3 linked regions of the Drosophila melanogaster genome follow. The gene in region 2 interacts genetically with the main gene of each other region. Each region holds a gene or a part of one and is shown on either strand. Other genes may lie near its edges.

The links.
Region 1: of Mmp2 (region 2) and Timp, changing one suppresses a phenotype caused by changing the other (phenotypic suppression), as found in Drosophila melanogaster (3 studies listed by BioGRID).
Region 3: of Mmp2 (region 2) and Sema1a, changing one suppresses a phenotype caused by changing the other (phenotypic suppression), as found in Drosophila melanogaster (one study listed by BioGRID).

Annotation. Positions count from the first base shown.
Region 1 is NT_033777.3:10,211,339-10,215,095, forward strand, and holds the start of Timp (tissue inhibitor of metalloproteases), read right to left. Parts: upstream 1,670-3,757; 5' UTR 1,421-1,669; intron 1-1,420. Other genes in the region: Syn (synapsin), read left to right, coding at 3,634-3,757. UniProt on the Drosophila melanogaster protein: Metalloproteinase inhibitor that acts on both matrix metalloproteinases Mmp1 and Mmp2 in vitro. Complexes with metalloproteinases and irreversibly inactivates them by binding to their catalytic zinc cofactor.
Region 2 is NT_033778.4:9,682,117-9,685,873, forward strand, and holds the start of Mmp2 (matrix metalloproteinase 2), read right to left. Parts: upstream 1,743-3,757; 5' UTR 817-1,742; coding exon 667-816; intron 1-666. UniProt on the Drosophila melanogaster protein: Has metalloproteinase activity. Proteolytically cleaves the PGRP-LC receptor; involved in gut-fat body innate immunological communication (GFIC)-mediated activation of the imd/Relish signal transduction pathway.
Region 3 is NT_033779.5:8,540,143-8,543,899, reverse strand, and holds the start of Sema1a (semaphorin 1a), read right to left. Parts: upstream 1,754-3,757; 5' UTR 1,688-1,753; intron 688-1,687; exon of another isoform or gene 185-687; intron 1-184. Other genes in the region: CG17834 (uncharacterized protein), read right to left, coding at 2,664-3,442. UniProt on the Drosophila melanogaster protein: Involved in growth cone guidance through its role in axonal repulsion. Function in neurons is essential for adult survival, motor neuron survival, and is important for climbing behavior and activity.

The sequences.
Region 1 (3,757 bases), on a different chromosome or scaffold from region 2:
TTCAGTGTAGCCTACTAACCGGATTTTCTCTCCCTCAATAAGCAATTGCGGTTAAGATAATGTTAAGGTGCCATATGGCAATATGTGTCGTAAGAAAAGCAAACAATGCATTCAATTCAAAAATTAGCAGACTTTAGAAATTTAAATTCCATTCGATAATAAGTGTTATCTGATGGCAAAAAAAAAGAAAATAAAAGTCAACGTAGTATATAATATCCCAGAAAAGCTGAAAAGCCAATACGAAATACAAGCTCATTTAAATGGCGCACAAACAAAACGAAAAGCCAACAGTGAATCCAAAGTCAAATGAAGGAAAACGAAATTATGAATATCCATGCGAAACAATGCGAGTTGTCAAAAGAAAACTCAATGGAAAAGAAAGGGGAAAACCCACTTGAAATGCATTTCCCTGGAGAAGTCTTTACTCCCCTCCCTTGTGATGTGCTTGTACATTTTATTGGTGTTTTTTTTTTTTTTGTGAGAGTCGAGAAGCATTAAATGTTTTTCTTTATTTTTAGACACTAAATGGCCAATGCCAAAACACACATGACGTATGCGTAATATGGAAATACCTCTGGCGCACACAACCGTTTCGCTTTCCTTGACATCCAACAAAATTGTTACTTGTACATCACAGATTCAAATGGGCTTTACGATCAGACTGGATTGCACAAGCAAACTAGTTGTATATTTCTTAATGGCCTGCAGTTTGTTTACAAATTGGCGACAATAAAAACTATTAAGACAATTCGAAAGGCCAGAAGAAAACTCGGGGCGCTCCAAAAGATCAGGGAAGGCAGATGCACAGCTAGGCAAATAAAAACAAATTATAAATAAACGCCAATAAATAGAAATGAGCGTTTCGTTGGAAAACTGTGTCGCTGTGTCACGTCGGCACATTTCCCACTGCGCGTTTTAAATAGCCCCAAAATAAAATACACAACGCGTCTGTGTCGCGCGTTTTGCATACCTTCAATTTCAATTTCAATCTTCTAAATGCCAAACAACTCTAAAACTAAAACTAAAATAAAATAAAAACAAACATGGCTGTGTACTTTGGCTTTTGAGTTGCAACTTGTTTTTGAGGTGGAAATTTGCACCTCAGGGGAAAATGCATCAAAGAAGAGAAAAGTTTAAAAATCAATTGATAAGAGAAAATTAATTTTAAAATATTTCTAGCTAAAAACTCCACAAAAGCTATTTTGAATCTGCTCTTTGAGCTGAAACTTTTTTTTGCCTTTCAAACATATATGAAAATTCTGTTTGCGGAAAAATAAGCAAACCATTTTATTCCGGCTATTTAACTTCTGACACAACACTTGGCAATGCGGAAATTTTTAAAATAAATTAACACAATTAAGCATTCAAGTACTCAATTCTTAAATTACCAAAAATTAGCAAAATAAGCCTAGTTTGTTACCTTTAAGCTGCAACCTATTTTGTGTGTAAAACTAGCACTTCAGGCTTTTAAACACTTGAACCCGAGGGCACAAAAATCGGGAAAAACAATTGAATGTATTTTCACCGGCACTCGCACTCGCACTCGCACTCGATTCGACTCGTCAGCACTTTATACTACTTGGTACTATATATCTCGTACGATGTCGCGATTTTTCCGTCGCCGATTTTGTGGCGTTCTAGCTCGCTGCGCTTGCGGTTCTGCACTGGATCGTCAAGTCAACCGATTCGACTGTTTTCTTCACTCAAGTTGTTCGGGAAGTGAGAGATCGGATCGATCGATCGTTTGAGTCGAATCCACTCGTGTCTTTATAACTTGAGTGTTTCTTGCGGCAGTCGGGCGATCAAAAGCGCCATAAATTCGCCCCAAATGAGTGGAAAGTGGAGGAGAGTCGATTGCATTTTTCTTTGCGTTTATTTTGTTACCTTGGCAGCTTTATTAATTGCGTGCAGGGGCCTGGTTTATGCTCTCGGCCATATAATAGCATACAATATGCATAGTTGTAGTTACTTGGCGCCATGGCCAAAAAGAGATCGCCACACGAAACGGCAGAGAATAGCGCATCTGTCAGGCCGCAAATCAACTAATAATTCAGCTATGCCCAGTCGTAAACTCGCCAGAGATCCAACTTCCTCTTCCTCTGACCATGTGGCGCACACACGTGCTGTTGCTCCGGTCATGCTTCATATCATACTCCATGCTCCACCTACAGCACGTTGCCATAATCTGCATACCCGACCCGGTAACGCCACCGCACTACAGATCTACACGGCGAGAAACGGTTGGGGATACTTAACGTTGCACTACTGATGGCTTAAGAATATTATAATAATATTACAAAATTATAAGATTTAATATAATAGGGTTTTACAATTGTGATCAGTATAGTGGTCTGTGCCAATGTTGAAACTTATTTAAATCGTTTTCTTCCTGTGCACTTATACACCAGACACCACTGTCAATCGATGAACCCGCTTCAGGGCACTACGAATGCGTCACAGTGCATATTTTAAGTCCGCTGATATAACCGAGATGCAGTTCCCTAGACGGTGGGTACTCAGGCGGAACACGTAGCAGCTTCCAAGAATGCTGGCTATGTGGGGGTGTGACGTCTCATTCTGATAGTCACTCTTATTCTCGGTCCAGATACATCTCAGATACCTATATATATTTATGTTCATTGAGAGATTTCTCGCACTCTGTTTGTTTGGGGCTTTCTGTCAACAGGACGGTCTTTCATCGGCGGCAATTGCGACAATTCTTCGAGCTGCGTCATGGTTGTTATGGTTTTCCATTTGGTTTTATTTTGATTTATTCATTCTCTGCCAATGCAACACAAAATTAAGCCCATGTGTTTACTTGTGATTTATCAACTGTTTAAATATGGCTTTGGGTCTGGGAGAGATGATTAACAAGGGTAATCGGTTGGCGATTTGCATATATAAATGTAATAACCATGAGCAACGATGTAAAATTAATAAAATGCGAATTAGTCAAATATTTGAGGGCTGGGCATTGTTGCTGTTGCATATTTAATAGTGATTTGCATGCGCCATTAATAACTATAAGGTATTTTCATGAAATGTTCCTGCCTGACTAATGATCGAGGATTCTTGGAATTCGTCTGGCAAATCAAAAGAAAATTTCCATGGCCAGATTCGTGATCGGAATGAGGGCAAAAACAACCAATGAATTTGGCACTTATCCAATGGATTAATAAGCATCGCCCCTTGATTTCCGCAGAAAATAAAATGAGAAAAAATGGAAGTAAAGAGCTCATCGGTATATTGTAATTTATAGAATTTCAATCAGACAGTGAAAAACATATTGTGATTGCCTCGGTGTCTTTATTCCCAACACAAGAAGAAAGTGTTTTAAATATATACATTTTTTTTATTTAACTTAATGTACCATAAAGTATGTCAGTCATTAAAGCGAGGTCTATAAAACTTTTCTAAAAATGTTTAAAGGCTATTTATAAAATCTGAAACTATTCAATTTTTTGGATTAGTCAGATTAGTCCTAAAATTATTAATATTCACTTTGAGATTATGACATATTTATTTGGGATAATCACAATATATCGTGCTCGCCTCAATAGAAAACCATCATAAAAACATGGTTAAAAACTAAACTAACTAAATTATAAATTCTTTCTCTCCGTGCACTTGCAGTTCCAATTCACCAAGTTCCCAAGCGTGCTGAAGGCTGGACATTGCCATGGCGGAGTGGCCACCGCTCGCCTGGAGAACCAGAGCGCCCTGCAAGATGCCGCCGGATTGGTGAGCGGTGCTGGTA
Region 2 (3,757 bases):
CTAACTTACAGTTAGATATATAACTACGTCTCGTGCTGTCTATGCATATGTAGAGCATTTTGGGATTTTGAGGTCATAGGCTCGAGCAGCCACAGCAGCATCTGCATCGTGGAGTGAGGGGGAGGGGGGGATATGTGTGCTGGGGGCCTTCAGATCCGTCTATCTCGATTGTACTTAACCCGCCTCTCGATTTACTGTCTGCTACCAAATGCGGAGATACGGATTGAGTATCTGAGCCGCCGGAATGAAAATGCGCCTACTGTAGGCTAATTTTGTTTTCCTTTGTCCCCTTTCTAATTTACCTTCTTGCTCTTTAACTTCCTATTTACATTGTTTAATTATTTATGTCACATTCAATAATTGCTTTTACAATTTTTATTGCAAACATTGTGCGATTTCCAACAGCTCTAGGGATTCAAATGTCAATTATTGATGAATTTTTATTGAAATGGCAATTGGGTCAAACAGTGCTTAAGCATTTACCATCAGATATATGTAGGATGATTGATTGCATTGCGTTTTATTTTGGGGAATTATTTTCATTTCAGTCGATGCACTTTGTATAAACACCCAAATTTACTAACTTGATCGATACGATATATCATCTTATAGAGCTTAAAAAAGCTGGGTTCGGAAAAATCGAAGTTTTCAAATTTGGAGCCTTACCATTATATCCTCGGAGATAGCGGTTTTTGCCTTCTTGGACCTGGTCGCAGCGGTGGAGTGAGATCCTTCGGGTGGGAGGGACAGCTCCTGGATGCACATGGATTGCGCAAAGAGTGCGAGCAGGGTGGCGAGAACATATTTGGAAAACATTTCGCCGCTCTCTTTCGCTCGCGCAACGAAAACACTTGGACACGAAACTATTCCTCGATCAGTAGGAACAAAACTGTGTATTTATCTTTATTCTATGTTCGAGGCTTAATTAACCGATGTGGTGGACTAACAATTCGTAGTGCTAAGCTGGGAATTGAACTTTTCACTTTTGTTTTAGTTTCGCTGCTGTTGTTGTTTTTGCTATTGTTGTCGCCTCGGCCGCGGGGGTTGACACAGACACACATGCGCATTGGCGGCACTCACACGAATACCCGGCAGCATAAATACAGCTGCAGCAGCAACAAAAACAACGGAAGGAGCGATGGGTTGTGGCGGGGAGCGGTGGGGATTGGGCGGGGGTATTCCCGTTTTTCCGTTTGGCGCTTCTTGTTCTGGCGTTTTGTGCTTGCCGCTTTGTTGTGGCCACTGCTTCTTTCCTTGGCTTTCCTTTCTCTCTGTGCCTTCCGCCCTTTTGCGCTCTTTTACATATGACGCATACGAATGGTGGGAAAACAAGGAGCTGGGGGCGTTGAGTTGGGTTGGGCTGGATAGAATTTAAATTTGGTGTGTATAGAATGCACACTATAGAATGCCACTTGGCCACAAAAACACAATTAATTAGCACGCAGTGGCTGCACAAAGGAAAGACTTTCCTTGTTCATCCGTTTTTTAGTATATGCCCGATACCAACACCGATTCCCGATTCGCGTTACCCGATTCCTGTCAACCGTTACGTCGCTTTGTTCACCCCACAAAAGAAAACGCTAGAAGTGGGCGGTGCTCTTTTATTCGCGTGTTTTGTGCAAGCATAAATCTCAATTTCTCCTTTTTACATTTATTTGTTTCTGTCGAATTCGAAATAAAAAATCTCGTTATACCGCCGAAAGCGGGTTTACCGCGCGGATGTCTAAATGTGACTGAACTGCTGACTTGCCTCGACGTGAAGCGACTTGAAGAGGCGGGCACAAAGAGCACAAAAATACAGAGTAGCTTCTCTTCATTTGGGCGGATATGCCAGCGATCGCGGTTGATTTATGAAAATACGTAAGAGTAGAAGAAACTCGCTCTTGTCTCACGCTCTTAAGGGGGCACAGAAAGAAAAAGCACGAATTCCAAGAGGCTCTAAAGGATTTTAAAAAATTATTTTAAATTAGGCAGCAAAAAACATTTTTTTTTTCGTAATAATCTTTTTAAATTCTGAGCCTATAACTTTGTTCATCCGTATTTGTATAGTTTTTTATTTAGAGATCTGAAATCCAATGTATTTAAAATTTCCTTTTTACATATGAAAGAATTATATTAAAACTGAAAGTACAAACACCGTGGTCAAAGACATTTATGTATTTTCCACTTTGTTATTATATTTGACTCATAAAAAAGTAATTTAATTAATTTAATTTAATTTAAACTTAAATCGGTAGCAGTATATAAATTATTGCTACATTCATTATAATTTTATACCATATACTCTTATGATTTGATTTTTGGTATTTTATTGTAAAACAATAATAAACAAAATTTTTTTTAAATAGTATAATAGCTTCAAATATTTCAAATTATGTTGGTCTGTGTGACTTTGGGTAGGTTCTTTTCTTAAGTGTATATTAATATTTCTCTCTGCTCTTCGATATTAATATTTTTTGGCTACTTTATACTCTTCGATTTTGGCTACCTAAAAAGTGTCAGTCTAACACGTTTCCGCCAAGTTGGGACATTTGCCTATTGCACAATAAACACAAGGCAGATGGCGTTAAATATTGATTGATCGAGTAGTTCCATGAAAAAGGAAACTAAAATCTAAAAAATAATGAATCGATATGAGTTAGCTACATTTGATTTCTAATATTTATGAATAAGTATGAATACACCCACACCCTCGAAAATAAAAAACCCAGATCAAAAAAAAAAAAGCCCATATATTCTTGGGTACTTGTTATCATATACTGCAGAGTATTATTCACCAAGCCGGTTATATTTTTGAATGAATCAAAATACGAATGTTAGCCGCTGCCGGTTACTCAACGTAGTATTCGAAAGGATGATTATCTTTTTCCATTCACAATCTTTTGGAAATCCCAAATAGTCATTGATAATGCTCTTGCATAAGCAGCCTTGATATATCCAATATCAATGTCCACTTAAACTCAATTTACTGTCACTTAATCATAGCCAATCTAGAACCGCAGTAGATCTAGTCCCTTGATGAGTCGAAATGCTATAAAATCTATAAATGATTGTTTTGAAAATGTATATGTTCTGCGATAAATGCAAGTTTATCATAAATATATAACCCCCACGGGGTAAGAGATAGTAAAATCATATTTTGGTATTATCACATTCAAATGTATTTCATTTCGAAACATGATCGTTTAGTGGCGTGCACCACTGTATGTACACACAGATATCCGAAACAACTTGCCGGCAATTTCTGAACTTAGACTGAGGTCTTGGGTTCAAGTGCTAATTGGCCACGAAATTGAATGCAAAACCGATTTTTGATCTGCGGCTGACCCAAATAAAGTACAAATGACAAAATTACTGATGATACATGGTCGGGCCATCGAAAGGTGAGTAATTTTCGAAGTTGCGACATCAATATATATAAAATCGTCTTATCAGTTCGATGTTGTTACACCTATTACTCAATGGTAGTTTTGATAGAAAAGGCAGACCCATGGTCAGGAGCGAGAAAGCAGTTATCGGAAGCTTCCAGCGGAAGGAAACACAAGATAGTGCGGCTCGGTGTGAGCGTTCCGAGAGGTTAGTAACTCTTCAATGATTCACTGCATCATTGCACTATCTTTCTTGTTTACTGGCTTTCGCTACAACTGCTGATAGCCGTATCTTTATCGTTAGCTTAAGTACTTCCATACCCCTTGAGCTGGTCGGGAGTATCGAAACAGTCGCCGATTTAAGATCAGCGGGTGCAAGTTCGTGACAT
Region 3 (3,757 bases), on a different chromosome or scaffold from region 2:
TGTGGAAAAATTGCCGAAATTGTATATTTTTGTGGATTCGCTCTGCTGCGGCCTAAACTTTGGGTGGAAACACAGTTTTCGTTATTTTCTTTTTCTAATGTGCCATAATATTCCAATTTTGTTGTGATTGCCAATTGCAATTGGGCAATTTTCGGCTTTATTATTGTTGCACACAAACACTCACACTAGCTCTCGATTGCACATGTTTCTAAATTGAGCAATTACCAATTTATTAATTAATGTACACAATGGACAAATCACTTTTCACAATTGCGCGACACAAAGGTAGCGGTGCTGGAATTTGTTTATCAACGCGAAAGAAACATTTATATCCTTGTCGAATATCCGGAAATTAACAAGAAAATATCTTGAAAAATAATATTTTACAAGAAACCAAATTTCGTTTTATGCAGCGTTTCTACCGGCGATTTATCCAATATTTTTGTTTATTTATTAATGCTGTTTTCAGATATTTTCCAACCGGAGCAACAACGCGCTGCAGCAGCGCGGGCGTTAAATTTTCGAATGAAAAGGGAACTCGCACGAAAGAGAGTTCAGTCTCAAATGGCACTTTCTCTGGCGCTAGGGCATTTTCCGCGCGTTAGTGCGTTTTCCAGCGCTGACTGCGAAGTCGCGAACGGTCACTTTTTCGGTTCTCTTTTTCTCTCTCCTCTCTTCTCTTAACAGCTGGTCAACAAACAATATGCAAATTAAAAAAAAAAACAATAAGGATAATTATTTTATTGACCTAAATATTAAACTAAGAGCGTGCTACTAAAAATTTATATAAAAATTGCAGGCCATAACACCATGTTATTTATATTACCGAATTTTATTGGAAAAAATGTTGTCTATGGCAAATTGAAAACATTAAAAAATATTAATAAATTTTTATCTAAAATTACTCAAACGATAAAATGCTTGAGCTCTTTTATTTGTTCACGCAAAATTGGAAAACACATACACGGTTAAGTTTCTTATTTCATAAACATATTAGTTTCTTGTGTCCTTTAGAAGGAACACGCTTAAAGAGAAATTTTAAAATGAGAGGCTCTCTTCAATAAGCCCTCTCCTCTCACTATTTCCTTTTCGTTGACTGAAACTCCCCCTCAATATAATCGGCCGCTTTAAACTCTTATTCTCCCTCGCGATACTTAAAATAATTAATTTAGTTATTCAAAAAAAATCAAGAATATTTTGAAAATTATGGAAAATACATAGTTTCAATTCAAATAGAAAATAGAAATAATGTTTGAAATTTCCGTCGTTCCGCTCTCAGTGGGCGCGGGTGAGACTGCGCCTGTCAAGGGCGTTTGTGTACGAATTTTGAATATCAACAATCTGAGGGCACGTGTAGAAAAAAATTTTTAAAAATTATATATTAGGAGAACACTTCTATAATCAGAAACCATATTTAGTCACCAAAAATAGTTCTTCTCGAATAATAAATACGTTTGGTACCTGGTACCTAATTGAAACCTGGCAGCTCTACACTCTTTTCCTATTAGGTTCTCTCTTAAAACGCGCTCTCTGTTTTGCCGGCCGTTTATATGTATTGCTTTATTTATAATTTACAATTTAACCAATTCACTTGGACACGCTTCTTATTCATATTTGTTTAATTCACAACTTAATAAATTATTAGGGCACTCTACGAAATATATTGTTTATGTTTTTATATGAGCACCTTGCAAATAAAACAACTAGAATGTTTTGTTGTACAAACAACACACACGCCAATACGAATGAAAACTGGTCGACTAGCGTTGCCATTGGGAATTTCTACAGCCAGTGCTACCATATTGGGTGGTAAGCTAAATGGGTCCGGCTTACAGTTACCCCTTAACAAAACTTATATACCCGTTGAAATGTGTTTCATTATATATCACTTCCAGGATGACCTAATTAAATATACATGTTTGACGTTTTTTTAAGCTATATGGTGCAATTTTTTATTTTAATTTGTTGGTCTGAAACATGTATTGCATTACTTAAATTTTGAAATTAAAAAATTAAAAAATTAAATTAATAAATTAAAACAATCAACAAAAAGTAATTTTTACATCTCTCCCCGACGGGGAATTGAACCCCGGTCTCCCGCGTGACAGGCGGGGATACTAACCACTATACTATCGAGGATGTTGTCTACCCACTGTCAAACAACCGTCTCGAGCTTGCACACTGTCTTCAGAGTACAAATGGGGAACAGATGAAATTGAAACAAGCATTCACACTCCGCAAACGGAAAACCCGAGTTTGACTCACTTTGTATAACATCCTCGATAGTATAGTGGTTAGTATCCCCGCCTGTCACGCGGGAGACCGGGGTTCAATTCCCCGTCGGGGAGATAAGTGCATTTTTTTTCAAGCTCGCATTTATTTCTTTTAAAATGGTACAAATAGATATCGTTTAGATTTTTATAAAGATTTATTAAGTAGGATCTTTAATCGCTGTTTTTTGTGGTAAAATACAATTTATTTTGTAATATCAATCATTAATTCAAAATGAAGTACATCTGAATACTGAGGAATTGTTTGGACAAGGTCATTGCTTAGAAGATAATACAGAAAACGCATAAGCAGGTACTAAAGGCTAATAAATTTAAAACATTAAAAACATGGACAAAGTGATTAACAAATAAATATGTATATCTGCAGTGCGACTAGTCAACCTGCTTGCCCTCGTCGCGATTTCGTTTGAAGGACACGGAATGAATAAGTAAGGGCGGTAGATTGCCACGCAGCATCTGGAGTCGTTTGCTCTTCTCCTTCTCTGGCCGTCGCAGTTCGTCCTTGGAGGACCCGGGCGAGGCAGAGGACGAGGCCATCGATGGCGACATGGAGGCCAGTGAACTGGCGCCGGGCAGCACCTCAGAGCTCTGGGTCAATAGCATGGCAGATCGACGGAAGTAGCGCGGCATGGAGTAATCATCCTGTGTGGCCCGAGCAGCATTCGCCGTTTGAATGGAATAGAGACTCTGCGATACCCGGTACTTCTCAATAGTGGGCGTGTCCTCGTAGTTCTTAGGCAGATTACTGAACGATATCGATGGCACCTCCGGCGTCATGCTGATCTGACTGCTTCCGGTCATCGTACCGCTAATGGAGAATATATCCGTCTCACTGGCCGACGAACGGACATTCATGTGCGGAACGCTCTTGGCGGATCGCAGGATCCGTTTGGGCGTGGTCGTCAGTCCACTGGGGTTGGCCAGCAGATGAGGATGCCGGTCGATGAGGCGAGGTCGCAGCACCACCTCCTCCATGATCTCCTCCTCCTCATCGGCCTTGTCGTCCTCCTTCTCCTCCTCGGCAATGGCCTCGAACTTTTTGGGAGTAAGTGTCGTTTGGCTACCCGACGGCGAGCATTCGGCCGAACTGGGAGCCAGGGTGAAGGTGATTCGCTTCTCGGTCGATCCTGTTCTCGCATCAGTGGCATCTCCTGCAAAAAGAAGATATACTCCGTTTAAAAAGTGTTCTGCATTTGCAAGTAACTAAACCCATATTATTTAGAGATATTGTCCTGATTTCATTGTACCCTAATTAGCCAGCTGCCAGAGAGGACAATATTATCTTTGGAAGAGTTGGAAAAGTAGATGCCATTGTAAGACGCATAAAAGGTTGGCAAACAAGATAACGGTTGAGTTCATGGCAGATAGGAAAGATATGTGCAGATAATAACTAGCCCTCGACTTTGGCTAAAATGGAAATTTTAGAGGCGGAACTTACTAGTTAAGTTTTATAGTAAATTTAATAG